3 linked regions of the Anolis sagrei genome follow. The protein of the gene in region 3 purifies or fractionates together with the protein of the main gene of each other region. This does not show direct contact. Links are inferred from orthologs where the notes say so. Each region holds a gene or a part of one and is shown on either strand. Other genes may lie near its edges. The genes, in order: HNRNPUL2, SRSF3 and MEPCE.

Region 1 (10,431 bases), on a different chromosome or scaffold from region 3:
TTACTCTGTTATTAGTATTATTTTATTACATTTATTATTTTACTTTATTATCAGTATTATTACATTTACATTATTTCACTCTATTATTATTTTATTACATTATTTTTTCTCTATTATTATTACATTTATTATTTTACTCTATTATTGGTATTATTACATTTACATTATTTTACTCTGTTATTATTATTATTACATTTATTATTTTACTTTATTATCAGTATTATTACATTTACATTATTTCACTCTATTATTATTTTATTACATTAATTTTTCTCTATTATTATTACATTTACATTATTTTACTCTGTTATTATTATTATTACATGTATTATATTACTTCATTATTGTTATTATTACATTTATTATTTTACTCTATATTATTGGAAGGATACGTAGCACATTTTCGCTGAAACAGGTTAGAATAATTTTTAATCAAAGTTGGTCAGGATTATTTTAAATTACAGTTTTATGTAAACAGTGAAAAACATTTAACCTACTGTTTCCTCAATTAGTGTAATTTTATTGGTATCTATTTTTATTTTGAAAGTTACCCGTCCGTAGCTGCTGCATTTCCCACCCTTGGCTTATACTCAGGTCAATAAGTTTTCCCAGTTTTTTGTTGCACAATCAGATACCTCGGCTTATATTTGGGTCGGTTTATGCTCAAGTATATACGGTAATTAAGATACAGTAATTTAAATCCATCCCAAAGTGGGAACAATTTAGTGGCTATGGGGAATTAAATGTTAATGCTGTCTTACCTTTACAATTACCTTTCTTGAACATGGATCCATCCATCCATGTTCAACATCTACACAAATGCCAGAAGGGACAGAGAGTTTCATCTATGCTGATGATCGTGTCATCACCGCTCAAGCAGGGAGCTTTGAGATGGTTGAACAGAAGCTCTCCGAAGCTCTAGGCGCTCTTACTGCCCATTACAGGGAAAACCAGCTGATCCCCAACCCATCTAAAACACAGACATGTGCCTTTCACCTTAAGAACAGACAAGCATCCCGAGCTCTGAGCATCACCTGGGAAGGAATCCCACTGGAGCATTGCAGCGCACCCAAATACCTGGGAGTCACTCTGGACCGTGCTCTTACCTACAAGAAGCACTGCCTGAACATCAAGCAAAAAGTGGGTGCTAGAAACAGTATCATATGAAAGCTGACTGGCACAACCTGGGGATCACAACCAGCCCTGAACCAGTGAAGACATCAGCCCTTGTGCTATGCTACTCTGTTGCTGAGTATGCATGCCCAGTGTGGAACACATCTCACCACACTAAAACAGTGGATGTGGCTCTTAATGAGACATGGGGTGTCTGCGCCCTACACCACTGGAGAAATTACACTGTTTAGCCGGTATTTCACCACCTGACATCCAAGGCAGTGATATCTCCAATTCATCCCTTGTTTGGGTATCAGCCAGCATGTCAACGACTTAAATCAAGAAATAGTTTTTTAAGATCTACAGAGACACTCGCTGGAACACCTCAGGAAGCGAGAGTCCAAAAGTGGCAGGCTCAAATCCAGAACCTCAACCAATGGCTGATACCAAATGAGAGACTCCCCCCTGGGCACACAGAAAACTGGGCGACTTGGAAGGCGCTGAACAGACTGCGCTCTGGCACCACGAGATGCAGAGCCAACCTTAAGAAATGGGGCTACAAAGTGAAATCCATGACATGCGAGACTGGAGAAGAGCAAACCACTGACCACCTGCTGCAATGCACCCTGAGCCCTGCCACATGCACAATGGAGGACCTTCTTGCGGCAACACCAGAGGTACTCCAAGTGGCCAGATACTGGTCAAAGGACATTTAATCAACTACCAAGCTTGCAAACTTTGTGTTTTGTCTGTTTGTTTGTTTTGTTAAAAATGTAATACAAATGTCTGGTTGCTGCTGACACGATAAATAAATAAAATTTGCCTTTCTCCTTTGTGAAAAGCAAACATTGTGTCAGCAGAAACTTAAGGCCAAACGGCATTTAAGTTTATGTGCATTGTGTATAAGATCATTCAGGGGGAGGCTCTTACCTTCTTCAGGAGGCTGCTCTGGAGCTCAGCTGCATTTAGGGAAGGAAGGCAGGCTGTCCTGGAAACAAGGGGCTGGACCATAGATTCCAGTTTCCGGCAGGCAACCCATAGACCTTTCCTTTTGTATGAGCTGGTCTGTGTGGCATGAAGGCACATGCGCATGGCTTCAAGGGCTCGTAGCAAACCCATGCATTTCATATCGTTTTCTATGGCAAAGAAAACCAAGAGTTGTTTTGTGACTCCCTTCCATTTTACCCAGCATAGAGGGAAAGTGAGTTTGCTGACTTAGTGAGGTTTATCTATGGACCAAGAGCTCCGCCCGATGGGAAACTGGTTAACTGCACATGGCTTCACTTGTTTAAGCACAATAGTAAAGCATGTATTGGGTGTCCCAAAAGTCACCTTATATATATGGTGACTTTTACACACACAAACTTGAATATTATATTATAGAATCCTACATTTGGATTTCCATCCAGTTCAACCCCTATTTGTCAGACAGTAGGACACATTCAAAGCCCTCCTGACAGATGGCCACGCAGCCTCGGAATCATAGAATACTAGTGTTGGAAGAGACCCCAAGGACCACCCAGTTCAACCCTGTATCATGCAGGAAAAGCACATTCAAAGCCTTCCTGACAGATGGCCATCCAGCCTTGGAATCATAGAATCCTAGTGTTGGAAGAGACCCCAAGGGCCATCCAGTTCAACCCTATGCAGAAAAAGCACATTCAAAGCCCTCCTGACAGATGGCCATCCGGCCTCGGAATCAGAATCCTAGTGTTGGAAGAGACCCCAAGTGAAGTTGAACATGACCCCGCCCCCATTAGAGATAGTAACTTATAGTTTTGCTAAGGGCAAGGACACCAGACTGGATAATAAGGGTTAAGCCTTAGTCAGTTTGGTGTGTATCATTTAATCAAGGCTTTATGCCCTATTTTCATATGTTTATAGCAGAAGGTAACCAATCTATTACTGAAAATCATGCCACAAAAGTATTTGACGTTTCCATCTGAGACACACCTGGGCTCCTGATGGTCCCCCATCTCACAAACAAGGGACTCTCTTTCCCCCTCATTGATATATTTCCCTTTATGGAGCTTCCTATGAATAATATGAACTATGGACACTGGGGGAGGATAGTTGGATTTAATCTCTGTATTATGATTTCTATATTTTTATATTTTCTCCTGTATTTCTATATTTCCCTTCATGAATCTGACCTTGCCCCTATCCTTGAGGAAAATGTATAAGGAAGCTGCCCTGCCTCTGGAAACAGCAATTAGTGATTGTGAAGACCCTTATCTTAGAACCTTACTTGCATGGAAAATACAAAGAATTATCTTTCCTGACTTCGGAGTCGGGCCATCAAGACGAAGTTCGCTTGGCAGACTTTTTAATCATATAACAATGGGGGGGGGGGGGGGGATGACCTTCGGAAAGCCCTTTTTCCCCCAACCAGTTTTTCTTTCAAACCTTTCCACTGAAGACATTCACCAGTCACCCCCTTTGTGACTGGTGAATGTCTGATCGCAAGATGAAAACTCGGATTAAGTAATCAATGCTTATCTCAGACCAATCTCAAGACAATAAGTTTGGCTTTTCTGGCAGGCCGATTCTGGACTCGTTAAGCCTCCTGGACATTAAAGCCATAATCCATTCAAGAATGCAGTATATTCCTTCGTCCCGACCCCCTCTCTTCTGATTCGCTGGAGCGCAGAGGCGGCAGGAGCCTCCTGATTGGCTCTGGCGCACCACGGAAGCCCTGTGATTGGCCCTGACGCATGGGGGATGGCCAAGCCTCCTCCCAGCTGTTTGCGCATCAGCCAAACCCCTTCGAGCTGGGCGAGAGGGGGGAGCGGGAGATTTGAACCACACAACTCTGTATTTTCTATAAAAATGGCATTTATTTGTGTAACTTCATGCTTAGCTTGGCGAATGATTGCTGCTTTGCATCCTTTTCAGCTGAATCGCTAAAATGGAGCCCCCGGTGGTGCAGTGGGTTAAACCCCTGTGCCTGCAGGACTGAAGACCGACAGGTCACAAGTTCGAATCCGGGGAGAGGCGGATGAGCTCCCTCTATTAGCTCCAGCTCCTCATGCGGGGACATGAGAGAAGCCTCCCACAAGGATGATAAAACATCAAAAAATCATCCAGGGGTCCCCTGGGCAACGTCCTTGCAGACGGCCAATTCTCTCACAACAGGAGCGGTTGCTCCTGACACGACAAAAAAAAAGAAAGAGCTGAATCACTAATAAACCTCAGTGGCACTTTCTTCAACTTTGGTGAGATTCTTTTTGGGAACTTAGGGAAAATCAATTGCTTAACATTAGGCTTCTCTTTGCTCACCAATGGTGGGGCCGCAGGGTCTCTCCTCCTGGGGTAGACCCTTCTAAAGTTCCTATCGACTTCACAAGGGCCATCCAGTTCAACCCTGTTTCATGCAGAAAAAGCGCATTTGAAGCCTTCCTCACAGATGGCCATCCAGCCTCGGAATCATAGAATCCTAGTGTTGGAAGAAACCATCCAGTTCAACTCGGATGGTCCAAAATGCAGTGGCCAGGCTGCTAGCGGGATCATCTATGAGATCCCATATTACACTTATTCTGCAACAACTGCATTGGCTACCAATAGAACATCGGATCTATTACAAGATTCTGATCCTGACATTTAGAGCTCAAAATGGCCAAGGACCTTTATATCTCAGGGACCGCCTCATTCCTTTTCCCCATCAGTGGTCACCTCGATCCACCCAGGAAAATCTCCTCTACATACCGGGCCCTAGGGAGGGACACCTGGAAGGCGTAGAGCTTTTTCGACCTATGCTCCAATTCTGTGGAACTCATTGCCTCCATACATGAGAGCAATGTCGGAGTTGCGACCTTTAGTAAAGGCGCTCAAGACTTGACTGTTCGGTTGTGCATTTAAGTAATCAGATCTAATATGCCAAATAGTCACTGTTGAATGTTTTTATGTTGAATGTTTTCATATTGTGTAAATGCTATTTTAGACTGTAAGTCGCTCGGAGCACCTTGGTGGAGAGCGACTAAGAAATAAAGTGAAGTGAAGTGAAGTGAACTCTGTTCCATGCAAGAAAAAGCACATTCAAAGCCCTCTTGACAGATAGCCATCCAGCCTCGGAATTATATAATCCTAGTGTTGGAAGATGACTAGGACATCTAGACATGGCAGTTTTCCTTCATTTCTTTTTCCATGGTGAATTGGATGTTTGGGTGTAAATTGGCCTTTATAGGCCAATGGATACTCCCCCAGAGACATCAGAAGAGCTGCAAGACCAAAAACAAGCCGCAAGAGAAAGAGGGCACCTGATGAACGAGGCTAGACAGGGGAGCTCCAGACAAGAAACAATCAGGGCCAGCTAATCACCTCCCAACAAAGGATTCCCCCAGGCAGTAAGAAGCCAGACTTTGAAAACTGCTAGGCCTTCAAATGCTAATCAAGCTGGCCAATTGCAACATTCTTTCTCCCACCCTGGACATTATTCCACAGATATATAAACTCCACTTGCCTAGTTTCCAACAGACCTCACAACCTCTGAGGATGCCTGGCATAGATGTGGGCGAATTTATTTATAAGCTGTATTAAGATGTCTATATTTTTGTCTTCTTGTTTAAATATTATATACTTTCCCGATTTAGATATAGTTTAAAAAAAAAAAAAAGCTTAATTGTCTATTCTGTTTCAATGAGAAGCCTGGGGGCCATGGCTCATTTTGAACCACAGCCGTTCAATGAGTCCTTCATTCCGATTGGTTCGCTTCAACCAATCAGATCTCTTGTAACAACTGCCCTAAGCGTCTTAGCTGCCCGCCAAAAGACAACAACGGCGCACGTAAACGCAGCTTTCCAGAAAGCGCAACACGCATGCGTACAAACAAAGAGCTAAGCGTCGAGGGGAATAGGGGCCAACAAGGGAGGCGACAGCGCATGCGTCGTGGTGGACTCTGAAAATCGCGCGCGCGTGATGGTACAGCGTTTTAAGCTTGGGGTTGGTGAAGGAGGAAAGCGTTGACGCGCCTGCGCAATAGAGCCCGGAGGAGGGTTTCGGGTGTGGGAGAAAGCAGGCCACGCATGCGCAAAGGCGCAGTGGGAGAATAGGCGAGAGAGGGCAACGCAGCGCAAGAAGCGGAAGCCGCGCAGGCGCAGTGCCGCGGGAAGAGCCGCGCAGGCGCATTAGCCCTCGGAGCTCGGCTCGCTTTCCCCCCTCCCTCGCTCCCTCCCCCCGCAGCGGAGCGCGCGCGCCATGGACGTGAAGCGGCTGAAGGTGACGGAGCTGCGGGCCGAGCTCGGGCGGCGGGGCCTGGACTCGCGCGGCCTCAAGGTGGAGCTGGCCCAGCGGCTCCAGGAAGCCTTGGACGCCGAGATGTTGGCCGCGGGCCCCGAAGAAGCCGGCGCCGAGGCCGGGGGAGCGGCGGCGGCGGCGGCCGGGCAAGGCCTCGGCAGGGCCCGCTTGGGAACGGGAGGCGGCGAAAATGACGACGACGACGAGGAGGAGGAGGAAGACGAGGACGAGGAGGAGGAGGAGGACGAGGAGGCGCTGCTGGCCGACGAGGAGGAGGCGGCGGCCGCGGCAGGAGGAGGCCCCGCACAGGCCTCGGCGCCGAGCGCGGAAGAGCAGGCCTCAGCCCAGCCTGGCAGTGGCGTCAACGGCGCCCAAGGGGCCTCCGAGGAAGGAGGAGCGGGGAGCAGCGGAGGCGGAGAGGAGGAGGAGGCCGAGGCCGCCGCCGCCGAAGAGGGCCGCGGCGAGGCCCAGCCCGGAGACAAGCCCCAGGGTAAGAAGGCCCAACGCCCGCCCGCCGCGCTTCCCCATCCTCCTGACCAGGCCTCCTCTTTGCCCGCCACGCTATTGTTTTCCATCCCCACCTCCCTACCTTATATCTTTGTGTCTATATATATATCTTAAACAGTTATTTGGTGTGTGTGTGTGTACAAAATAATAATGTTATATATATAACAACATTGTATTGTCGAAGGCTTTCATGGCTGGAATCACTCAGTTCTTGTGGGTTTTTTCGGGCTATATGGCCATGTTCTAGAGAACACAGAAGTGCTGGACCACTCTCACAACCACCATGTCAGACTACACAGAGAAGCCATTGAAATCCACAAACATGTGGACAATTGCAACAGAAAGGAGGAAACCATGAAAATGAACAAGATCTGGCTACCAGTATTAAAAAACTCTAAAATTGCAACAGCAGAGAGAAAAACAGGCAGGGACATCTAATCACCTTTCAAGAAGAGTTTGCTCCAGGCACAGTCAAGCCCATTGTATGCTAATCAAGGTGGTCAGTTGAAAGATTCACACCTAGTCCAATTTACAAAAGCCCTTTGTCTCACCCTGGTCATTCCACAGATATATAAACCCCTTTTTTCCCAGTTCCAACAGACCTCACCTCTGAGGATGCTTGCCATAGATGCAGGCGAAACGTCAGGAGAAATACCTCTAGAACAGGAGTCCTCAAACTTTTTAAACAGAGGGCCAGGTCACAGTCCCTCAAATTGTTGGAGGGCCGGATTATAATTTGAAAAAAGCATGAATGAATTTCTAGGCACACTGCACATACCTTATTTGTAGTGCAAAAAACACTTAAAAATACAATAATTAAAATGAAGAGCAATTTTAACAACTATATATTTATTAGTAGTATGGGAAGTATGGAGCTGCTTTTGGCTGATGAGATAGGAGTGTTGTCGTTGTTGTGTACTTTCAAGTCATTTCAGACTTAGGTTGGCCCTGAGCGAGGGCCGGGTAAATGACCTTGGAGGGCCCCCAGGCCTTACTTTGAGGACCCCTGCTCTAGAACATAGCCATATAGCCCAAAAAAACCCGCATAACAACATTATTTGGTATGTGGATATTTATTTATTTAAGGCATTTCTATGCCGCCCTTCTCATCCTGAACGGGACTCAGAGCGACTTACAATATCTATTTTCATACAGTATATTATATTATTAGCATAGTACAATATCAGTATACATTACTATATTGCACTATACAATTATATTGTAATATTATTAGTAATATTACATGTAATGTAAATATATAATTATAATTATAATATTGAATTATTATTAGTATTGTATTGTATTACATTATAATATTATAAATATTATATGTATATACAATATACTATATTATATTATTAGTAAAGACAAGATGGAAATGTCTTCTGTATATATATACATTAGTTATTATATAATGTATAATAGTATAATAAATGTATTATTATTATTATTATATAATAATACTAGCCGTCCCCTGCCACGCGTTGCTGTGGCCCAGTCTGCTGATCTGGAAAAGAAAAAATATATATAACCCACTGATTCCTCAATTAATGTCATTTGATTGGTATATATTTTTATTTTGCAATTTACCAATAGCTGCTGCATTTCCCACTCTCGGCTTATATTCAAGTCAATCCGTTTTCTCAGTTTTTTGTCGTAAAATTAGCCTTGGCTTATATCCGGGTCGGCTTATACTCAAGTATATATGGTAATGCAAAAGTGTTGGTTTCTAATCTATGTAATTTCTTGATGCTTGTCGGTATATACTCGAGTATAAGCCTAGTTTTTCAGTCCTTTTTTTAGGCTGGAAAAGTCCCCCTCGGCTTAAACTCGAGCCAAGGTTATTTATTATTTTACTTTTATTATTATTATTACTACTATTACTATTATTGTTATTTTATTCTATTTATTATTATTACATTTATCATTTTACTCTATTATTATACATATATTATTTTACTGTATAATTGTTGTTATTGCTACATTCATTATTTTACTCTTTTTATTGTTATTATTACATTTCTTATGTTACTCTCTATTATTATTGGAAGGATACAAAAGCACATTTACATTGAAGAAGGTAAATAATCATTTAATCAGGGTTGGACAGACTTATCTTAAATTACAATTTTTGTAAATATTCAAAAATATATAACCCACTGATTCCTCAATTAATGTAATTTGATTGCTATATATTTTTATTTTGCAATTTACCAATAGCTGCTGCATTTCCCACTCTCGGCTTATATTCGAGTCAATCCGTTTTCTCAGTTTTTTGTCGTAAAATTAGGTGCCTCGGCTTATATTCGGGTCGGCTTATACTCAAGTATATATGGTAATGCAAAAGTGTTGGTTTCTAATCATTGTAGTTTCTTGATGCTTGTCGGTCAACAGTATTACTTGTTTCTTGGTCAATGTTGATGTAGAGATTGTCTGGGTTGCCTACTCTGGAACATGGAACATATTGTCCTTTAGGGGTCCCTTTCAAATCTAGGATACAACATCTTTCATATACCTGTATATATGTGTGTGTGTGTGTGAATCATTTCTATCTATACCTATGGTAGATGGTTCTTTGTCAAGAAGGTTTTGGTTATTTTTTCTTGCCCCGTGAAGGGAGTTGGATTGGATGGCCATAAGGAACCATTTCTCAACCTGGGTGTTGGGTCCCCTGCAGAGGTCATAAAAGGGTGTTAGAGGGGTCACCACAGACCATCAGAAAACACAGTTTTTTTTGTTGGTCATGGGAGTTCTGTGTGGAAAGTTTGGCCCAATTCTAAGATTGGTGGGGTTTAGAATGCTCTTTGATTGTAGGTGAACTATAAATCCCAGCAACTACTACTCCCAAATGTCAAGGTCTATTCCCCCCAAACTCCATCTGTGTTCGTATTTGGGCATATGGAGTATTCGTGGCAAGTTTGGTCCAGATCCATCATTGTTTGAGTCCACTGTGATCTCTGGATGTAGGTGAACTACAACTCCAAAACTAAAGGGCACTGCCTACCAAACCCTTCTAGTATTTTCTGTTGGTCATGGGAGTTCTGTGTGCCAAGTTTGGTTCAATTCCATCGTTGGTGGGGTTCAGAATGGTCTTTGATTGTATGTGAACTATAAATCCTGGCAACTACAACTCCCAAATGACTTTTTTTTTGAGTGAAGGACATACACTGGGTTGTTAGGTGTCTGGTGTCCAAATTTGGTGTCAATTCGTCCAGTAGTTTTTGAGTTCGGTTAATCCCACAAATGAACATTACATTTTTATATCTATCTATCTATCTATATCTTAAACAGTTATTTGGGGTGTGTGTGTATATATATGTATATTACAACAACATTATTATTATATTGTATGTGTATATATACATTAGTTATTATATAATATATAATCTATATAAATAAAAATGTAATGTTCGTTTGTGGGATTAACAGAACTCAAAAACCACTAGACGAATTGACACCAAATTTGGACACCAGACACCTAACAACCCAATGTATGTCCTTCACTAAAAAAAATGTCATTTGGGAGTTATAGTTGCTAGGATTTATAGTTCATCTACAGTCAAAGACCATTCTGAACCC
Region 2 (9,738 bases), on a different chromosome or scaffold from region 3:
CTACAATGGAGTCACATTTCAACTGCTTGTGACTCTCAAGTCTAGCTAAGCAACTGCTGATTGCTTTAGCATTTTTAAAACAGTTGCCTGCCTGGCATCATTTGTGATTACAGCAGAAAAATATCTTGAGTGGAAAAAAGCCAAACAGCTGAATGTAATGTTTATCAACAATGGAATAAAGAAAAGCAAAAATCAAGTTTGAGTACTGGGAAGAAAAAAGAAGCAACTAGAAGATGAACAGACTTCGGGAGGAAAGGTGATAATCCATGTTAGAGGGAGCTATCAACTGGTATAGATACCTAAGGATAAAAGTCAGTGTTCAACAGTGTATCCCTCTAACACATACTTAAGGAATTTAAAATTTGGTGATTCAATAGTGACATACATCCACAAGCCTTTTAAAAGCCTATTATGACAAAACGTTAATATTGCCAAAATCTCTGTTCAAGTTTTTTTTAATGCCAGATACCTGCGGCGAGGTGGAGGACTTCTCCTGCGATAGTCATCTCGAGGACGCCTACCCCACGAGGGAGGAGGACCACGGTTTCGACTACGTTTTTCACCATTAGACAGCTCCACTCTGACACGACAACCACAAAGTGTTCTGCGAAATAAATTAGCTATTGTTAAAGTCCAGAATTAATTCAGCCAAATGTGCCAACATCTAAAAAGAAGTCCAGTCTACTTCAGAACCAAAATATATTCCAAGCCTCCATTGTTACTGGAGATGATAGCAATAACGATTTTATTTCTTATCCACCTTTCCTCGTGATAGCTTAGTTTATTTGATTTATATCCTGCTTTTCTCCAAAAATGGTACCTCAAAAAGGCTTGCAGGGTAAGTTTAAAACAAAACATCTAAAATCTCTATGAATACAGAAGAATGAATGTTTGAACCAACATGACATTGGCCTTCAAAACGTAAAAGTATTTGAAGACTTAATCATTAGCTGTCGATACATTTATGAAAAGAGCTCCCAACCAGCATTTTAATTTAAAAGAACTGCAACTTCTAGAGGCTAAAGTACTGCACATTTGCTTTCCAAACAACTCCCCTTACCTATGCAATTAATTATAATTCACACTAATTTAATACATTCTTATACATTCTTATTACTTCCCATTCTAGGACATCAGTGTTATTTCAGTGTTTTTCAACAATGCTGAATTGTTTTAGTGTATTATACAATTTTTGCATAACATACAAATCAAGGCTTTAACCACAACTAACCTATATGCCCCCAGAACTTATCTCTAAGATGTAAAAAGCTGGGGGGTTTTTACCTCCCATCTAGCTCTCTCACGGCATCAGCTGCATCACGTGGGTCTTCAAATTCAACAAAAGCAAAGCCAGGGGGATTCCTAGCCACCCATACACTTCGCAGAGGTCCATAGTAGCCAAAAGCCCGTTCCAGTTCCGTTTTGTTGCCATTGTTCCCAAGGTTACCTACGTAAACCTTGCAGTCCAGCGGACACGAGTCACGATGCATCTCTACAACATGATCAAGTAAAAAATGTTGTCAAGCTTCCACTATTAGCACATACTAAATCCTGTGATGTTCACTCCAGTGGGGAAATGTAGCATGAATAAATCTGACTGTTCATTTCAGAATATGTGCCTTCAAGTTATGTTATAACAATAACTATTTTATTTTTATACCCTGCCATCATCTCCTCAAAGGGACTCAGGGCGACTCACATGCAGGACCAAGCCCAGAGACAACACGGTTTACCAACTAAAACATAATTATAAACATAGTAACGTATCACAACCCAATTAATCAATTAAAAATAGCAGGGTATAAAAACTTAATTGAAATTTATAGAAAGTAAACCTCGACAATCAGTGACCAGAAATACAGTGGAAATAATCAGAATTAGTGAGGGCTGGGCATGGGCTCGTGCAAAAAGCAGACTATAGTCCCCCCCCCCTCCAAAGTTAGTCTGCTGTTATAGTTGTTGCTAGTTATTATTGTTACGTATTGTCAAAGGCCTTCATGGTCGGAATCACTGGGTTGTTGTAAGTTTTTAGGGGCTATAGGGCCATATTCTAGAGACATTCTCTCCTGACGTTTCGCCTGCATCTATGGCAAGCATCCTCAGAAGTAGTGAGGATGTTGTTTTCGCTGTTTTATGTTGTCTAAATTGTTTTACTTTGTTTTTAATTGTATTCTGTCTTGGGACCCCGAGTCCCTTTGGGGAGATGGAGGCGGGGTTGAAAAATAAAGTTCTTCTATATAGGGCAAGCGCTGGGGGTAAAGTGCCGAGTACAACCTATCCCTCAATTAGGTCTGGGCATTCATGAACAGGGACCTAACCATCAAATGCACACTGACACATCCAGGTTGCAACTCCATGGATTACATACTGTTCTTCTGGGGGAAGGAATATTCAAGAGGTGGGTTGTCGTAGGTTTTTGGGGCTATATGGCCATGTTCTAGAGCAGTGGTTCTCAATCTGTGGGTCCTCAGATGTTTTGGCCTTCAACTCCCAGAAAACCTAACAGTTGGTAAACTGGCTGGGATTTCTGGGAGTTGTAGGCCAAAACACCTGGCGACCCACAGGTTGAGAACCACTGCTCTAGAGCTATTCTGTCCTGACGTTTTGCCTGCATCTATGGCAAGCATCCTCAGAGGTAGTGAGGTCTCACTACCTCTGAGGATGCTTGCCATAGATGCAGGTGAAATGTCAGGAGAGAATGCCTTTAGAACATATATAGCCCAAAAAAAACCTACAACCCAGTGATTCCGGCCATGAAAGCCTTCGACAATACATTCAAGAGGTGGTTTGCCAATTCATTCTCTGAAACATACCTTAAAGCAGTGGTCCTCAACATGTGGGTCCCCGGATGTTTTGGCCTTCAACTCCCAAAAATCTTAACTGCTAGTAAACTGGCTGGGATTCCTGGGAGTTGTAAGCCAAAACACCTGGCGACCCACAGGTTGAGAACCACTGAGCTAGATTCTCAGATACTCTGATATTACAGTGCTCACATATATTGCTGGGGAAAGAGAGGGACAAATATAGTTTGCAGTGAATGGCCTTTTGAAAATAAGGGAAGGGTCCTACTGTATGAAATACAGGATGTTTTTGCAGTTTAATAAACCTTCCCCATGTTTTATGATCGAGCAGTGATTCTTAACCTGTGGGTCCCCAGATGTTTTGGCCTTCAACTCCCAGAAATCTTAACTGCTGGTAAACTGGCTGGGATTTCTGGGAGTTGTAAGCCAAAACACCTGGGGACCCACAGGTTGCGAACCACTGTCTTAAAGCACTTAGTATTCATTGGAAGCCTCCCAACCAAGTGCTAACCAGGGTTTGTTTTTTTTTGTCGTGTCAGGAGTGACTCCTGGTGTGAGAGAATTGGCCGTCTGGAAGGACGTTGCCCAGGGGATGCCCGGATGACTTGATGTTTTCATCATCCCCGTGGGAGGCTTCTCTCATGTCCCCGTATGTTGAGCTGGAGCTGATAGAGGGAGCTCATCCGCCTCTCCTCGGATTCGAACCTGCGACCTGTCGGTCCTCAGTCCTGCCAGCACAGGGGTTTAACCCACTGCACCACCGGGGGCTCCACAGGGGTGACCCTGCTTAACGTCCAAAACAAGACAGGGCCAGAGGCCCCACTTTAAGGCAGGATGTTCATTATAAACACTCGTCAGCCTACAGATAAAGGCCCATCTACACATAATGCTGTTTAACTGCACCGAACGAGCCTACACTGGCCATATAATGCAGTTTCAAACAATGGCAATGTAGGTAGGGCCATAAAATGCTCTTTCCTGAAGCCGCTAATGTGAGTTCGGAAAGCCCAAATGCAGCAAATGAATAAATAGGGTGACTTTTCTGCATTTGAAATGTTTCACAAAAAAAAACAACTTGAAAATCCCCTGCGTCGATTGTCGAAAATAATGCTGCTCATCGGTGGGGAAATTACAGCTGGCCGGATGAGGAAAATAACGGCTTGTAATTAACGCCGCTTGGCGCCCAAGTAGGAAGAATTCGGCATCCATTTCTTCGACCTTCTCTTTTTAATGGTAGGTGCGTAAGAAAGAGCCCCCCGTGCCGAAGGAGCCAAGCCTTCCCTCCCACCCAGGGCCCCACCCCCCGACCGGGGCCTGGCGTTACTACTTCTGCTCCACAAAATGGCGGCGGCTCTTTGTCCGCCCTCAGGGCCGCGAGGCCTGCCACCCCGCCCGCGCCCCTCCCTCCCTCACCGGCTGCCGGGCCAGGAGCGCCAAGGGCTTCTCACGCTGCCTTTTCTTTTCCTGCCTTCGTCGCCTCTTTCTCTTTGTCCTTCGGCCCTTAAAGCGCGCTCGGCCTCGCCTTCTTTCCCGCCAAGGCCTGAGCTGTTAACCACCCTCGACTCTTTCGTACTGGACAAAATGGCGGACGGCAACGCCACGGTCTTGTATTTATATGCGTCCTGCCCATAGAGTCACGTGAAGAGCCTACCCACCAATGAGAAGCCGTGTCTTCAGTGATCGACATCTTCGAAACCCAGCTCCGCCCACACGAGCGGTAGCCCCTCCCCCTTTCTCCTGCCTCTGACTGCAGGCAAGGGCGCGGTTACCATGGCAATCTCTGTGAAGGGAGGCTTCGGCGAGGCCTACACAGAGGCGCGGGAGGGAGACAGATTTAGGCCTTTCTCTGGCACGCCATGTAGGGTGCATCTACACCAGGCATAGGCAAACTTGGGCCCTCCAGGGGGTTTGGACTTCAACTCCCATCATTCCTAACAGCCTCGGGTCCCTTCCTTTTCCCCCTCAGCCGCTTAAGCGGAGGGCCCAAGTTTGCCCATACCCGATACACTGTAGAACTAATGCACTTCGACTCCACTTTAACTGCTATAGCTCAATACTATGGAATTCTGGAAGTAGTAGTTTTACAAGGTCTTCAGCCTTCTCTGTCCCAGAGTGCTAGTGCCTCACCAAACTAAGCATCCCTAGATTCCACTGCATTGAGCCATAATAGTCAAAATGGTGGGAAACTGAATTAAATCTAATGTAGCTACACCTTGGGAGTGTCCACTCAAATCCTGTAGAGCTTAATTTTGAATAGACAAATTTAGAATCCAGCTATCGGGAGTCACAGTGAACTATATGCTAGAACCTGCTTCTGTGCTTTTAAATAGGAATAAAGGACATGTAGGATCTTGTGGGATTACATTTCCCATCATCCCTTATTTCCACTGGTTAGATCAGGGGTCCTCAAACCTTTTAAACAGAGGGCCAGGTCACAGTCCCTCAAAACTGTTGGAGGGCCGGATTATAATTTGGAAAAAATGAATGAATTCCTATGCACACTGCACATATCTTATTTGTAGTGCAAAAAATAATTAAAAACAATACAATAATTAAAAATGATGAACAATTTTAACAAATATAAACTTAATAGTATTTCAATGGGAAGTGTGGGCCTGCTTTTGGCTGATGAGATAGGATTGTTGTTGTTATTGTTCTGTGTTTTCAAGTAGTTTGAGACTTAGGTTGACCCTGAGCGAGGGCCGGGTAAATAACCTTGGAGGACCGTATCCTGCCCTGGGCCTTAGTTTGAGGAACCCTGGGTTAGATTATGATTTATGGGCAGGACACAATACAGTATCTTCACTGGAGATTTGAAAACATTAGACAGCTAAATGGATTTCTGCACGACGGCTTGACTAAATAACCATTAGTAACCATGGGAGCTTTTGCACAATCAAAACTTGTGCATCAGTTGCGCCCATACCTTGGGAAGTCAGGCTTGGCCACGGTGGTCCATGCTCTTGTTACATACTGAATATATTACTGCAACATGCTCTATGTGGAGTTGCCTTTGAAAACTGTTGGGAAGCTTCAATTAGTCCAAAGGTTGGCAGCCAGGTTTCTAACTGGAGGAGCGTTCAGGAAGCACACAACCCCCCTGTTATGCCAGCTCCACTGGCTGCCAGTCTGCTAACAAGCACAATTCAAAGTGCTGGCTTTGGCTAGCTTATAAAGCTAAACAGTTCCAGCCCAGCATATCTGTCCAAACACCTTGGAAGTTAAGATCATCTGGGGAGGCCCTGCTCTTGATCCCACCACCTTCACAAGCTCGATTGGTAGGGATGAGCGACAGGGCCATCTCAGTGATGGCTCCTCATCTGTGAACTCAATGAAATCAGGTCAGCTCAAGATGTGGCAGTGGGACCAAGCATTCAACCAGTAAATAGTATAATAAAGATAACGGACTAATGGAATTGACAACTGGACAATCCTTGGACTACAATCTTGATTACTGGATTTTAATTGATGTTTTAATAATTAATGTTTAATTGTATGGTTTTAATTGTATTTATTTATTTTTATATTCGTATGTATTGGCATCAAATAGCTGCCTGCTGTAAGGATGCTCCGAGTCCCCTTTTAAGGTGAGAAGAGCGGGATACACATCATGAGGAGACAGGAAAGCCTAGAGAAGACAATTATGCTGGGGAAAGTGGAAGCCAAAAGGAAGAGGGGCCGACCAAGGGCAAGATGGATGGATGGCATCCTTGAAGTGACTGGACTGACCTTGAGGGAGCTGGGGGTGGTAACGGCCGACAGGGAGCTCTGGCGTAGGCTGGTCCATGAGGTCACGAAGAGTCGGAGACGACTGAACGAATGAACAACGAGCGGGATACAAATATATGAAAAAATACATAAATAATAAATAGTATCCTTTCTCACTTTGGGAAGGCCCCACTTTCCCACACTTGCCTTTTGTTTCATTCTTATTTTTCAGTAGGCAAGTCTCTGTTTTGAAGTTAATTGTTTTGCAGGAAGCTGTACTTTAGTGGCATAATGCTATGGAATTGGGCATATGGTCTTGCAAGGTTTTTAGCCTTCTCAGCCAAAGAATGCTGGTGCCTCACCAAACTACAACTCCCATAAATTCATAGCACTGAGCCATGACCATTAGTGGTGTCAAACAGCATTAATTCTACAGTATAGGCACACCTCTAGTTTCTATTAAGCTAGAAAAGGCAGGAATGAACTTGCTTCAATTATCATTCTATGTGCTCTTTAAACTATTGCCATCCATGGTTGTGATGATGCCTAATTCAGCACTTTTGAAGCTATGTGATATGGCAGGCTGGCACTCTTTCAGTGTGTCGCTGGTATATATTTGCCCTATTGTTATAACATAGTCCCCTGGAAATGCACCACAGACCAGCACCTGATGGAATTATCTAAACACTGGATATTAGGTTGGTAAGAAATACAAGGCCAGGCTTTTTGTTGGTCGCTATTGCATTGGTAGAACTTTCTCCCAAATGAAGTCAGGCTACGTCCATTTTTGTTAAATTTCTTACATGCACTATGTAACATCTTGGGCTCTTACTATTGTGCTTAGTCTCTCTGTGTGTGCATGTTGAATGTGATGCTTCTGTTTCTAAATTATCATTTCATTGTACACTGCTTTGAAGGCTCTGGTAAGCAGAAAAAATAATTGACACTTAAGCAAGGAGGTAGACAAACATCTGGATTCATTTGCTTGCTGCATTTTATAATGCTTTTCAACTGGAGTGGGACACAAGGCAACTTCCAAAACTATTTAAAATATTTACATTAATATCAAAAAACAATTAAAAGCAGATTAAACATCATTAAAATACTTTAAAAAAACATATAAAACTCAAATGAATATACCTACCATGAAATAAACCTTGCAACTTACATTTGGAAACCACAGCTCTATACTAAGGAAACAACTTCTCAGTCTGACTCAGTTGCAAATACAGTTAATAGGGTACTTTGCTAATGTGCTAATGTGGTGCTTTGAAAGAGGAAGACTGCAAGTGGATTGATTCAATCAAGAAAGAGAATACTCTTGACTTGGCAAGAACTCATCAGAGCAGTTCCTGGGCGGGGCTTTTGGGGGTCTCTCATGCATATGATAGCCGTTAAGTTAAAGTCAAATATGAATTATAGCAACCCAATGCAAATTGCAGGTTGAATCCATGTTGTTGTTGTTTATTTGTTCAATCGCTTCTGACTCTTTGTGACCTCATTGACCAGCCCATGCCAGAGCTCCCTGTTGGTCATGGCTACCCCCAGCTTCTTCAAAGGCAAGCCAGTCACTTTGAGGATACCATTCATCCATCTTGTCCTTGGTCAGCCCCTCTTCCTTTTTCCTTCCATTTTCCCCAGCATCACTGTCTTCTCCAAGTTTTCCTGTCTTCTCATTATTTGGCCAAAGTACTTATTCTTTGCCTCTAAAATCCTTCTCTCCAGTAAATCCATATATGGATGGGCTACAATTGTTATTTGAGTCTTAGTGCTTTATTTTTCTTTTATTTATTAATTATTTATCACACTTTTCATCCAAATAAGACATAAAAATATAAATGATTTTTTTCTTTTATCTGTGGCTTGAGATGGGAATACAACATGGTTAAAACACACAGATAAAACACAATACTAGAAAGAGAGAGAGAGAGAGAGAGAGAGAACAAAATTAAAACACCAATACTAACCAAATGTAAAGTTACAATTTATAATTTAAAATTGACTGGCCTGCCAGAAGTATGGCATGTAAATAGTTTTCTATGCTGACAGAGTCATGTGAATTCAAATTTATTTCAAACTGTTCTCTATAATTGCTACTATAGATCTCAAATTAATTTTCAGACTTTTAAAAAGGATCCAATCACATAATGTACTTTTAGCAACTTAAAGATGTAGGTTCCTCATAGTACTTCACTAAATTGCCAGTTTTTGCATGAAACAAAAAGCCAAAACAAGGTCTTTATCACACCATCATGTTATACCACATTTTTCCATTTGAAAGTCACTTCAGCTATATTCACGATGATGATGATGATGATGATGATGATGATGATGATGATAATAATAATAATAGTTTTATTTATATGCCACCCCCTCTGCCTAGAAGGACTCAGGACAGCTTACAACAGAAAAAAACACAATACAGATGATAAACATACAACCAAATCAAACAATAAACTCACACAATAATTAAAATATAAACATATATATAAACATATAACATTAATAAAATTAAAAATGATAGCTGATTGTTGACACATAGTGTACACATAATACCCATGTCATTTTTGCAGTTTTATAATGTGATTTACATGTTTTCTTTTTCATCCACACCAACGCCATTATTACTATCCTGTTTGTTTCACCGCGTGTTAGAGTATTGGTTTATCTTTAAGCTGTTTTATTTTCTGAACCATGAAGTCTTCATTACCAACAATGCCATTTGTACCACCATTGGTTTCCCTTTAATTTTTTTAAAAATATTAAGGTATAATCACATGTCTATAGGATTTCATCAAAGCACTATAATAATACTGTGATGAAAATATGAAAATAATAATAATTAAAATAGTGTGGGTCCTTAATATCTGCTGGAATTTGGTTCAAGCACCCCCTATGGATACCAAAATCTATGGTTGCTCAAGTCTTATTATATTCAATGGTATAATAAAATAGTGTCCCTTTTATAAAATAGCAAAATCAATAGTTGGGTTTTGGATTTTTTAAAAAAATCAAGTCATAGATGGTTGAAACAATGGAGAGGGTTGACTCTATTTTATAAACAGTAACACTAGTGGTGACACTGTAGTGTGTAGTATCATAAGAAAACAGCAGAGGGGTCTTTGGGGGGAGCCTGCGCTGTAATGATGACTTCTGAATAGTGGCTTCTATAGGTTAACAGGTCAGGATTACACTGTTAATGCATTATAACAGAAAATCATTGATGTAA
Region 3 (10,197 bases):
AATATTGATAATATAATTTAATACAATATAATACTAAAACAATATAATATATATATAATTGTACATTTAATACATGTAATATTAATATTTTTGCAGTACAGTAATACAGTACAGTATAGTAATATATAACACTAATATTGTACTATGCTAAACATATATACATATAATATGGATAATATTATAATTTAATACAATATAATACAATATATAATTGTACATTGTATATTACATGCAATATTTCTAATATTTTTACAGTCCAGTAATACAGCATGGTACAGGAATATATAATACTAATATTGTGCTACGCTTACACACACACACACATATATATACACACACATACATACATAGCGTACATATAATATTGATAATATAATTTAATACACTATAATACTAATACAATATAATGTATAATTGTACATTGTATATCATATATAATACAGTATAGTACTATATAATACTAATATTGCACTATGCTAAAATATATATACATATAATATTGATAATATTATAATTTAATACAATATAATATATAATAATTATACATTGTATATTGCATGTAATATTAATATTTTTGCAGTACAGTAATACAGTACAGTATAGTAATATGTAATACTAAAATTGTGCTATGCTAATATATATATACATATATGTATATACATATACATATATATACATACAATATTGTTAATATAATTTAATACAATATAATACTAGTACAATATCATATATAATAATTGTACATTGTATATTACATGTAATATTACTAATATTTTTGCAGTACAGTAATATAGTACAGTACAGTAATATATAATACTAATATTGTGCTATGCTATATATATAATATATGATAATATAATTTAATACTAAATATAATAGCCGCCAAATGTGGCAACCAGACACCTTCTAACCTAAGGAGTGACCATCACTCAAAAAAAAAATATTGATTTTGTCATTTGGGAGTTGTAGTTGATTATAGTTCACCTATAATCAAAGGGCATTCTGAACACCACCAACGATGGAATTGAACCAAACTTGCCACACAGGACTCCCATGGCCAATAGAAAATACTGGAAGGGTTTGGTGGGCATTGACCTTGAGTTTTGGAGTTGTAGTTCACCTACATCCAGAGAGCACTGAGGACTCAAACAGTGATGGATCTGGACCAAACTGGGCACAAATACTCAATATGTCCAAAAGTGAACACTGGTGGAGTTTGGGGAAAATAGACCTTGACATTTGGGAGTTGTAGTTGCTGGGATTTATACAATCAAAGAGCCCCTTGAACCCCACCAATGATAGAATTGGGCCAAACCTCCCACACAACCCCCATGACCAATAGAAAATACTGTGTTTTTGATGGTCTTTGGTGACCCTCGCGAACCCCCCCCCCCCCCCCCCAAGTCTCTCAGCATTCCTTACCATTATGTATGCTGGCTATAGAGCTTAGTGCCACCTAGAATATCTCAAAAGGTATTGGAGTGGGAGGAAGGACCCGTGGGTGGCCTTGGGCTGCACCTGGCCCTCCAAGGCTGTCTTTGTGTCCTTGGACCTCTCCAGACTGGCCTTTGTCTGACCAAAAAAAGGTATAAGGCTTCTCTTGGAAGGCAATGGAAACCGCAATTCGCCCTTGTAGATAAATGGCAGCCACTTCCTGTGCATTTTCACATCAGTAATGGTTTCCTTTTAACCAAACTTCCTGTAATCTGGGTTGTTGTAGGTTTTTTCGGGCTATATGGCCATGTTCTAGAGGCATTCTCTCCTGACGTTTCGCCTGCATTTATTTATTTATTTATTTATTTATTTACTTCGCTTATATACCGCAATTCTCAGCCCAAGGGCGACTCACTGCGGTGTACAACATAGAAAAACAGGTGCAAAATACAAAACATAGTGTAAAATAATCCACATTATCAAAAAACATCTCATCAAAACATCAACATTACTACAAAAGCCATTCCGAGTCGTCTCATCGTCAAACCCACAATCCGATATCATTTCCGTTGTTCCATTCCTATGGTCAAATTACCAATCATTGCACTTCTTGTCCAAATGCCTTCTTAAACAGCCAGGTCTTTAACTTCCTGCGGAATATCAACAGGGAGGGAGCTAGCCTGATGTCCACGGGAAGGGTGTTCCACAGCCGAGGAGCCACCACTGAGAAGGCCCTATCTCTCGTCCCCGCCAGCCGGCAAGCATCCTCAGAGGTAGTGAGGTCTGTTGGAACGAGGGGAAAGGGTTTTATATATCTGTGGAATGACCAGGGTGGGTCATTCCTGTAATCTCTTTGTGGATGTTTTCAGAGAGTCCCAGGGGAAGAATACTGGCACTCCGACCCACAGCTATTGCTTCTCCTTTCTCTACAATTGCAAGGGGCAACACCCCATGGGCCATCTAGTCCAACTTCATTCTGTTATACAGGAAAAGCACAATAAAAGCACCCCTGACAGATAGCCATTGAGCCTGTTTAGAACCTTCCAAGGAAGGAGCTTCCACCAAACTCCGAGGCAGAGAGTTCCACTGCTGAACAGCTCTCCTTACGGTCAAGAAGTTCTTCCTAATACAGTTTAGGTGGAATCGCCTTTCCTGTAATTTGAACCCATTACGCTGAGTCCTGGTTTCCAGGGCAGCAGAAAACAAGCTTTCTATTTTTCCCCCCTGGCTTTAGCCTGCTCTGTTGCTGTATTTGTAGTGTATTTATAAGCATCTGTGGGGCACAACATAATTCTCACATCTTCATACCTGATACCACCAGTACAAAAAGATACCTGCAACTATTTGCCAAGTTATTTATTTATTGTGTCAGAAGCAAATTGAGAATAGAGTTATAATGTATAAAAACCCACAAAGAAAGTTTGAAAACTTGGCATTATACTAAATGTCATAGAATCCTAGAATCCAAGAATTCGAAGAGACCTCATGGGCCATCCAGTCCAACCCCGTTCTGCCAAGAAGCAGGAATATTGCATTCAAAGCACCCCTGACAGATGGCCATCCAGCCTCTGTTTAAAAGCTTCCAAAGAAGGAGCCTCCACCACACTCTGGGGCAGAGAGTTCCACTGCTGAACGGCTCTTCACAGTTAGGAAGTTCTTCCTCATGTTCAGATGGAATCTCCTCTCTTGTAGTTTGAAGCCATGGCTCCTTACTTACTTACTTACTTACTTAGGCGATCCCTCGTTGGACGAGTAAGATGGTCTTCCATTATGGATTTCCCTGTGGGTCCGTATGTGGCTGTGGAGCCCTATTCTTGCTCTGCATCTTCTTCCGCAGTGAGGGCATTGGTTTCCAGGTGGAAGGCGGTCTCGGCCGGGGTTGGCTTGACGCGCCTTCCTCCTGGCACGTTTCTCTCTTTCACCCTCCACTCGTGCCTCCTCAAATTCTGCAGCACTGCTGGTCACAGCTGACCTCCATTGCATCCTAGTCTCCAAGGAAGCAGAGAACAAGCTTGCACCCTCCTCCTCCCTGTGGCTTCCTCTCACATATTTATCCATGGCTATCATATCTCCTCTCAGCCTTCTCTTCTTCAGGCTAAACATGCCCAGCTCCTTAAGCCGCTTCTCATAGGGCTTGTTCTCCAGACCCTTGATCATTTTAGTCGCCTTCCTCTGGACACATTCCAGCTTGTCAATATCTCCCTTCAATTGTGGTGCCCAGAATTGGACACAATATTCCAGGTAAAGTGGTCTAACCAAAGCGGAATAGAGCATGGGGAGCATGACTTCCCTAGATCTAGACACTAGGCTCCTATTGATGCCTGAGGCCAAAATCCCATTGGCTTTTTTTGCCGCCACATCACATTCCTGGCTCATGTTTAACTTGTTGTCCACGAGGACTCCAAGATCTTTTTCACACGTACTGCTCTCGAGCCAGGCACTGTCCCCCATTCTGTATCTTTGCATTTTGTTTTTCCTGCCAAAGTGGAGTATCTTGCATTTGTCACTGTTGAACTTCATTTTGTTAATTTTGGCCATTCATCTCTCTAATCTGTCAAGATCGTTTGAAATCCTGCTCATGTCCTCTGGAGTCTTGGCTCTCCCAATTTGGTGTCGTCTGCAAAATGTCCTGTGACACGTATCTGGCCACTTGGAGTGCCTCAGGTGTTGCCGCAAGAAGGTCCTCCCTTGTGCATGTGGCAGGGCTCAGGTTGCATTGCAGCAGGTGGTCAGTGGTTTGCTCTTCTCCCCACTCGCATGTCGTGGATTCCACTTTGTGGCCCCATTTCTTAAGATTGGCTCTGCATCTCGTGGTGCCAGAGCGCAGTCTGTTCAGCACCTTCCAAGTCTTCTGTGTGCCCAGCGGGGAGTCTCTCATTTGGTATCAGCCATTGGTTGAGGTTCTGGGTTTGAGCCTGCCACTTTTGGACTCCCGCTTGCTGAGGTGTTCCAGAGAGTGTCCCTGTAGATCTTAGAATACTATTTCTTGATTTAAGTCGTTGATGTGCTGGATGATACCCAAACAGAGGATGAGCTGGAGATGTCTCTGCCTTGGTCCTTTCACTATTGGCTGCTACTTCCCGGCGGATGTCAGGTGGTGCGATACCAGTGAAGCAGTGTAATTTCTCCAGTGGTGTGGGGCACAGACACCCCGTGATAATGTGGCATGTGTCATTAAGAGCCACATAGAATCATAGAATCAAAGAGTTGGAAGAGACCTCATGGGCCATCCAGTCCAACCCCATTCTGCCAAGAAGCAGGAATATTGCATTCAAATCACCCCTGACAAATGGCCATCCAGCCTCTGCTTAAAAGCTTCCAAAGAAGGAGCCTCCACCACACTCCGGGGCAGAGAGTTCCACTGCTGAACGGCTCTCACAGTCAGGAAGTTCTTCCTAATGTTCAGATGGAACATTAGGAACACTGTTTTAGCGTGGTGAGATGTGTTCCACACTGGGCATGCGTACTCAGCAGCAGAGTAGCACTGCGCAAGGGCAGATGTCTTCACTGTGTCTGGTTGTGATCCCCAGGTTGTGCCAGTCAGCTTTCGTATGATATTGTTTCTAGCACCCACTTTTTGCTTGATGTTCAGGCAGTGCTTCTTGTAGGTCAGGGCACAGTCCAGAGCGACTCCCAGGTATTTGGGTGCCCTGCAATGCTCCAGTGGAATTCCTTCCCAGGTAATAATCCTCAGAGCTCGGGATGCTTGTCTGTTCTTAAGGTGAAAGGCACATGTCTGTGTTTTAGATGGGTTGGGGATCAGCTGGTTTCCCCTGTAATAGGCAGTAAGAGCATCTAGAGCAGGCATGGGCAAACTTGGGCCCTCCAGGTGTTTTGGACTCCCAACTCCCACAATTCCTAACAGCCTATCGGTTGTTAGGAATTGTGGGAGTTGGGAGTCCAAAACACCTGGAGGGCCCAAGTTTGCCCATGCCTGAACTAGAGCTTCGGAGAGCTTCTGTTCTACCATCTCAAAGCTCCCTGCTTGAGCGGTGATGGCACAATCATCAGCATAGATCTATATATATTAGATATATAGATTTACAACTCGCCTTTGAGCCTAACCTCCCCCATCAGTGTAACAATAAACACATTGGCCCTCTATGAATCCCGTGCCGCCCTTTCCCACGTTCCTCTCCCTTTCCCCGCGTGTCCTGGGGTCTGTTTGTTTACCCACCTCCCGCGCCTGCGCAGTTGGTAAGAAGCAGTGGCGGCTGCGACATTCGGCGCATGCGCCACTGGGGGGCCTGGAACAAAACTACAGTTCCCAGAGTGCTTTGCAGGCATCCGTTTCAGGCAAGTGGAGCCATGTGATCTTTTGACAACTGTCCATATTGGGAAACCCTTTTAAAAAGAAAAACAAAAAATGATTAAAATTCTTCTTTGCACAAAGAATGTGAAAGTATTGGTTCCAAGGGCGGATTTACTTAAATTATATTAAAATAGATTATATCTTTGGCAAGTGAGGCTGTTTTCCTCTTTTTTTAGGAGACTAAGCCAATGCCTGAAAAAAAACCGGCTTGTTCTTCGAGGCAGATTTTTGGCAGTTGACGAAAAGTGTATTATTTAACACATCCAATGCGGGGAAATATATCTACTTCGCCTTTCCTTTGCGACTTTAAAGCTCGAAATAACGCTCATGCAGGCGTATGAGTTAGACAACCCTATACCGAGAAGGACCCTCACCCACTCTGAGGAGAAAAATTAGATCCGAGTGCTGAGCTTTGATTGGATGGAGGAGCTCCCCTTCTGCTTTCCTATTGGTTGAAATCTAAATCAGGAGGCGGGAGGAAGAAAAGGAGGGGCGCCTTGTGAGGAATTGGTTCTGATTGGTTTCCGATACACGCGGCTCGAGCGGGCGCCGGGCTCTGATTGGTTGTCATCGAACCGAGGGGGCGTGGTGTATATTAGCCACGCCCACAAGGTATATAAACCCAGCGCTGAGGGGGGAGCGTGCCATCGCAGGAAATCGGGAGGCGCGAAGCGTTCTTCCTTGGACGGAGCGCTGGCTGGGCTGCGCATGCGCTGATCAAGAGGGCGGGGCGTTGTGGGTGTTTTGTGCGCCTGCGCGACGGAGGCTGGGCTTGATCGCGGAGTGCGCCTGCGCGGGAGAGAGCAAAGGAAGGGAGCAGCCGAGGGAGCGTACTGCGCACGCGCAGAAGGAGTCTGAGGCAGAAACAACGTGAGGCGGGCTGAGGAGAGGAACAAGGCTGCTTCTCTCCTCTTCCCCGGCTGGCCTGAGGGATGATCGAGATGGCGGCCGACAAGGACGCCTTCCGAGTCCCGGCCCCGCCTCCCCCGTTGCCTAAACCCCCTCCGAAGGGGCCTACCACCTGTGGAGCCGGGGACTTGCCTAGAAATGCAGCCGGGAAAGGAGGCCCCATGGCGGGGAAGGCCCAAGGGAGCCGTGGAGGTGGGGATGGAGGCCTCACAGACCCCCAACGAGGAGTGGAGGCCTCTGTGGAGGAGGGAGACGGCCTAGCTGAGCTCCACAAGCCTCGCAATGGCTTCCAGGCCCCTCCACAACCACAACAACAACCACAACAGAGGCCCAACAAGAGGCGTAACAGCTGCAATGTCGGTGGAGGAGGCGGTTTCAAGCACCCCGCTTTCAAGCGCCGCCGGAGGGTCAACTCCGAGTGCGACCCGGTCCTCCCGTCGGAGTTCCTCCTCGGCGGGAACATCTTCGACCCGCTCAACCTCAACAGCCTCCTGGACGAGGAGGTCAACCAGGCACTCAACGCCGAGACCCCCAAGTCGTCGCCGCTGCCGGCCAAAGGCCGCGACCCCGTGGAGATCCTCATCCCCAAGGATATCACCGACCCGTTGAGTCTCAACAACGCCCAGGACGACCCTCCCGTCTTGGCTTCGCCCGCCAAACGCAAGCGGCACCGGCACCGAGGGGCGCAGAGGGGGGGCAGCACCGACGGAGCGGGGACCAAGGCTCCCGCGACGCCCGCCGCCACCGCCTCGGCTTCCTGCCAGAAGTCCAAGCCCTGCAATGGGGCCACCCCCCAGCCGTACGAACTCAACACCGTCATCAACTGCAGGGATGAGGTGGTCTCGCCGCTGCTTCCCGCCGGACATGGGGAGCCCCAGCCCAGCCACCAAGGGGTTTCCGCCGGAGGGGGCGTCACCCCCTCCTGCGTCTCTGTGGCATCGTCCGCCAGCACAGGGAGCCGGCACCACCGCAAGCGGCGCAGGACTTGTAGCAAATCCGAAGTGGCGGCCGCGCGGCATCAGGGGCCTTCCTCGGCGTTGGAACAGCCTTCCCGGAGCAGCCCAGAGAGGGCCCGCAGTGCCCCCCGTTCCCGCCACGCGCCCCCCGCGTCCGCCCGCCGACAGCCCCGGCACAAGTTCCAGTACGGCAACTACTGCAAGTACTACGGATACCGCAACCCCGACTGCGAGGATGCCCGGCTGCGGGTGATGAAGCCGGAGTGGTTCCAAGGTAAAGAGGTGCTGGACGTGGGCTGCAACGTGGGACACTTCACCCTGAGCGTGGCCAAGAAGTGGGGGCCTGCCCGCATGGTGGGCCTGGACATTGACGGGCACCTCATCCACTCGGCCCGGCAAAACATCCGGCACTACCTCTCCGAGGAGCTCCACCAGCAGAAGCAGGAGAGCGACGAGGGTCCGAGCAGCACCGCGGCCAGAAAGACCTTCCCTGCCTCTCTGATGGCCAGCCGGGGCCCCATCGCCGCTCCGAGGGTCCCTCAGGAAGGGACAGATGCCTCTGTGTTCCCCAACAATGTCATTTTCATCAAGGTAAGGCAAGGAGGCTCCTGATGGCATAGTGGGTGGTTATTATTATTATTATTATTATTATTAAACTTCATTTATACCCCGCCACCATCTCCCCTCGGGGACTCGGGGTGGCTAACATGAGGCCAAGCCCAATGAATACAGTAAACAAATAAGATATGTACAGCAAATAATAATTAAAATTGAAGTTCAGCAATAAAACAATAACATACAAACAATAACACGCTCCAAGTCGCCTCTGGGCTAAGAGGGGCAGTATATAAATGTGGTAAATATATAAATAAACAACAAAAGGGAAATAACACTGGGTATAAAGTAAAATAAAATTAGGGATAAGGGATTAATCTGAATGGGTTATTATTATTATTATTAAACTTTATTTATACCCCACTACCATCTCCCCTCAGGGACTCGGGGTGGCTAACAGGCCAAGCCCAACGAATACAGTAAACAAATAAGATACATACAGCAAATCTATATAAATAAAATTTTAATGTATGTTTTGTGGGATTAACATAACTCAAAAACCACTGGATGAATTGACACCAAATTTGGACACAATACACCCATCAGGGCAACGAGTGACCCTCATTAAAAGCACAGCAGAAGACAAAAAATACATTACAAATAACAAAAAATACATTACAACACATGCTTAAAACCACACACACACACACATATATATGCAAACACACATACACACAAACATGCACATTAAAAACACATCTACATAGACTGGGCCACAGCAACATGTGGCAGGGGACAGCTAATAATAATTAAAATTAAAATAAAGTACAGCAATAAAACAATAACATACAAACAAGAAAAGAAATTAACATATTGGGTATAAAGTAATATAAGATTAGGAATAAGGGCCAAGGTGCGAAGATAAAATCAAGGGACATAGGAAAGGATAACCGAAGCAATTTAACCACTGGGAGGTACAGGAGGGACAAGCTATGGGGCTTAATTACTCGCTAGGAATAAGGCAAGGTGCATCAAGAGGACAGGTATGTGCTGGGACTGTCGTAGTGTGGGGATTATTGTTCATTCATCAAAAGCAAGGCAGAACAGCCAGGTTTTCAAGCCTTTCCTATAAGCTGACAAGGTGGGAGCTAGCCTAATCTCCCCAGGTAATGACATCCAAAGCAGGGTTAAATAAATACAATCCTAGAGTTGGAAGAGACCTCGTGGGCCATCCAGTCCAATCCCATTCTGCCAAGAAGCAGGAAAATCACGTTCAAAGCACCCCCGACAGATGGTCATCCAGCCTCTGTTTAAAAGCCTCCATAGAAGGAGCCTCCACCGCATAATGATAACACTAACATCTACATAATAATTAATAATAATGATAATAAAATCAAAATACAGAACATTACAATAATACAAAATATATAATACAAAATATAATAATAATAATAAATTTAATTTTATTTCACCCTATCTCCCCAAGGGGACTGGGCAGATTCCAACATACAATGGCAAACATTCAATGCCTGCATAAAACAAACGAATACTGAGATAATCCCAGAGAAGCCCACATATGAAAAAAGCATTAAAACCTAACATCAATAAATTAAGTCTAACATCAATAAATTAAACTGGATGTAGTGGAAAAATTATAGCATAAAATCTAAGCAAACATCCATATTAATTTACAACAGCCAACTAGAGGTGTGGGTTGGTTGTGCAGTCAAGCGGTGGTTATTGGGCTAGCGTGGAGTAGGAGATGCAAAATAATTCTCAATCAGGGCCCAGTAATGATCTCTTAGTATTTAATGCTCCCCCTCTCCATACGCTAGTGAGCAGAAGTAGGTCTTCAGTTGTTTTTTGAAGCAATCTATATAAATAAAAATGTAATGTTCGTTTGTGGGGTTAACAGAACTCAAAAACCACTGGATGAATTGACACCAAATTTGGACACAAGACACCTATCAGGCCAACGAGTGATCATCACTCATAAAAACACACAAAAAAACCCCCAGCAGAACAGACTTA

What was found.
Region 1: the proteins of MEPCE (region 3) and HNRNPUL2 purify together in Homo sapiens (affinity purification with mass spectrometry; 3 studies listed by BioGRID and IntAct, with this or other methods). This does not show direct contact. The link is inferred for Anolis sagrei from reciprocal best matches to the Homo sapiens genes MEPCE and HNRNPUL2.
Region 2: the proteins of MEPCE (region 3) and SRSF3 purify together in Homo sapiens (affinity purification with mass spectrometry; 3 studies listed by BioGRID and IntAct, with this or other methods). This does not show direct contact. The link is inferred for Anolis sagrei from reciprocal best matches to the Homo sapiens genes MEPCE and SRSF3.

Annotation. Positions count from the first base shown.
Region 1 is NC_090032.1:12,991,127-13,001,557, forward strand, and holds the start of HNRNPUL2 (heterogeneous nuclear ribonucleoprotein U-like protein 2), read left to right. Parts: upstream 1-6,238; 5' UTR 6,239-6,306; coding exon 6,307-6,835; intron 6,836-10,431. Other genes in the region: TTC9C (tetratricopeptide repeat protein 9C), read right to left, coding at 2,044-2,241.
Region 2 is NC_090024.1:187,252,855-187,262,592, forward strand, and holds the start of SRSF3 (serine/arginine-rich splicing factor 3), read right to left. Parts: upstream 4,400-9,738; 5' UTR 4,215-4,399; intron 1,493-4,214; 5' UTR 1,491-1,492; coding exon 1,285-1,490; intron 605-1,284; coding exon 470-604; intron 1-469. UniProt on the Homo sapiens protein: Splicing factor, which binds the consensus motif 5'-C[ACU][AU]C[ACU][AC]C-3' within pre-mRNA and promotes specific exons inclusion during alternative splicing.
Region 3 is NC_090026.1:2,896,485-2,906,681, forward strand, and holds the start of MEPCE (7SK snRNA methylphosphate capping enzyme), read left to right. Parts: upstream 1-6,386; 5' UTR 6,387-6,678; coding exon 6,679-8,202; intron 8,203-10,197. UniProt on the Homo sapiens protein: S-adenosyl-L-methionine-dependent methyltransferase that adds a methylphosphate cap at the 5'-end of 7SK snRNA (7SK RNA), leading to stabilize it.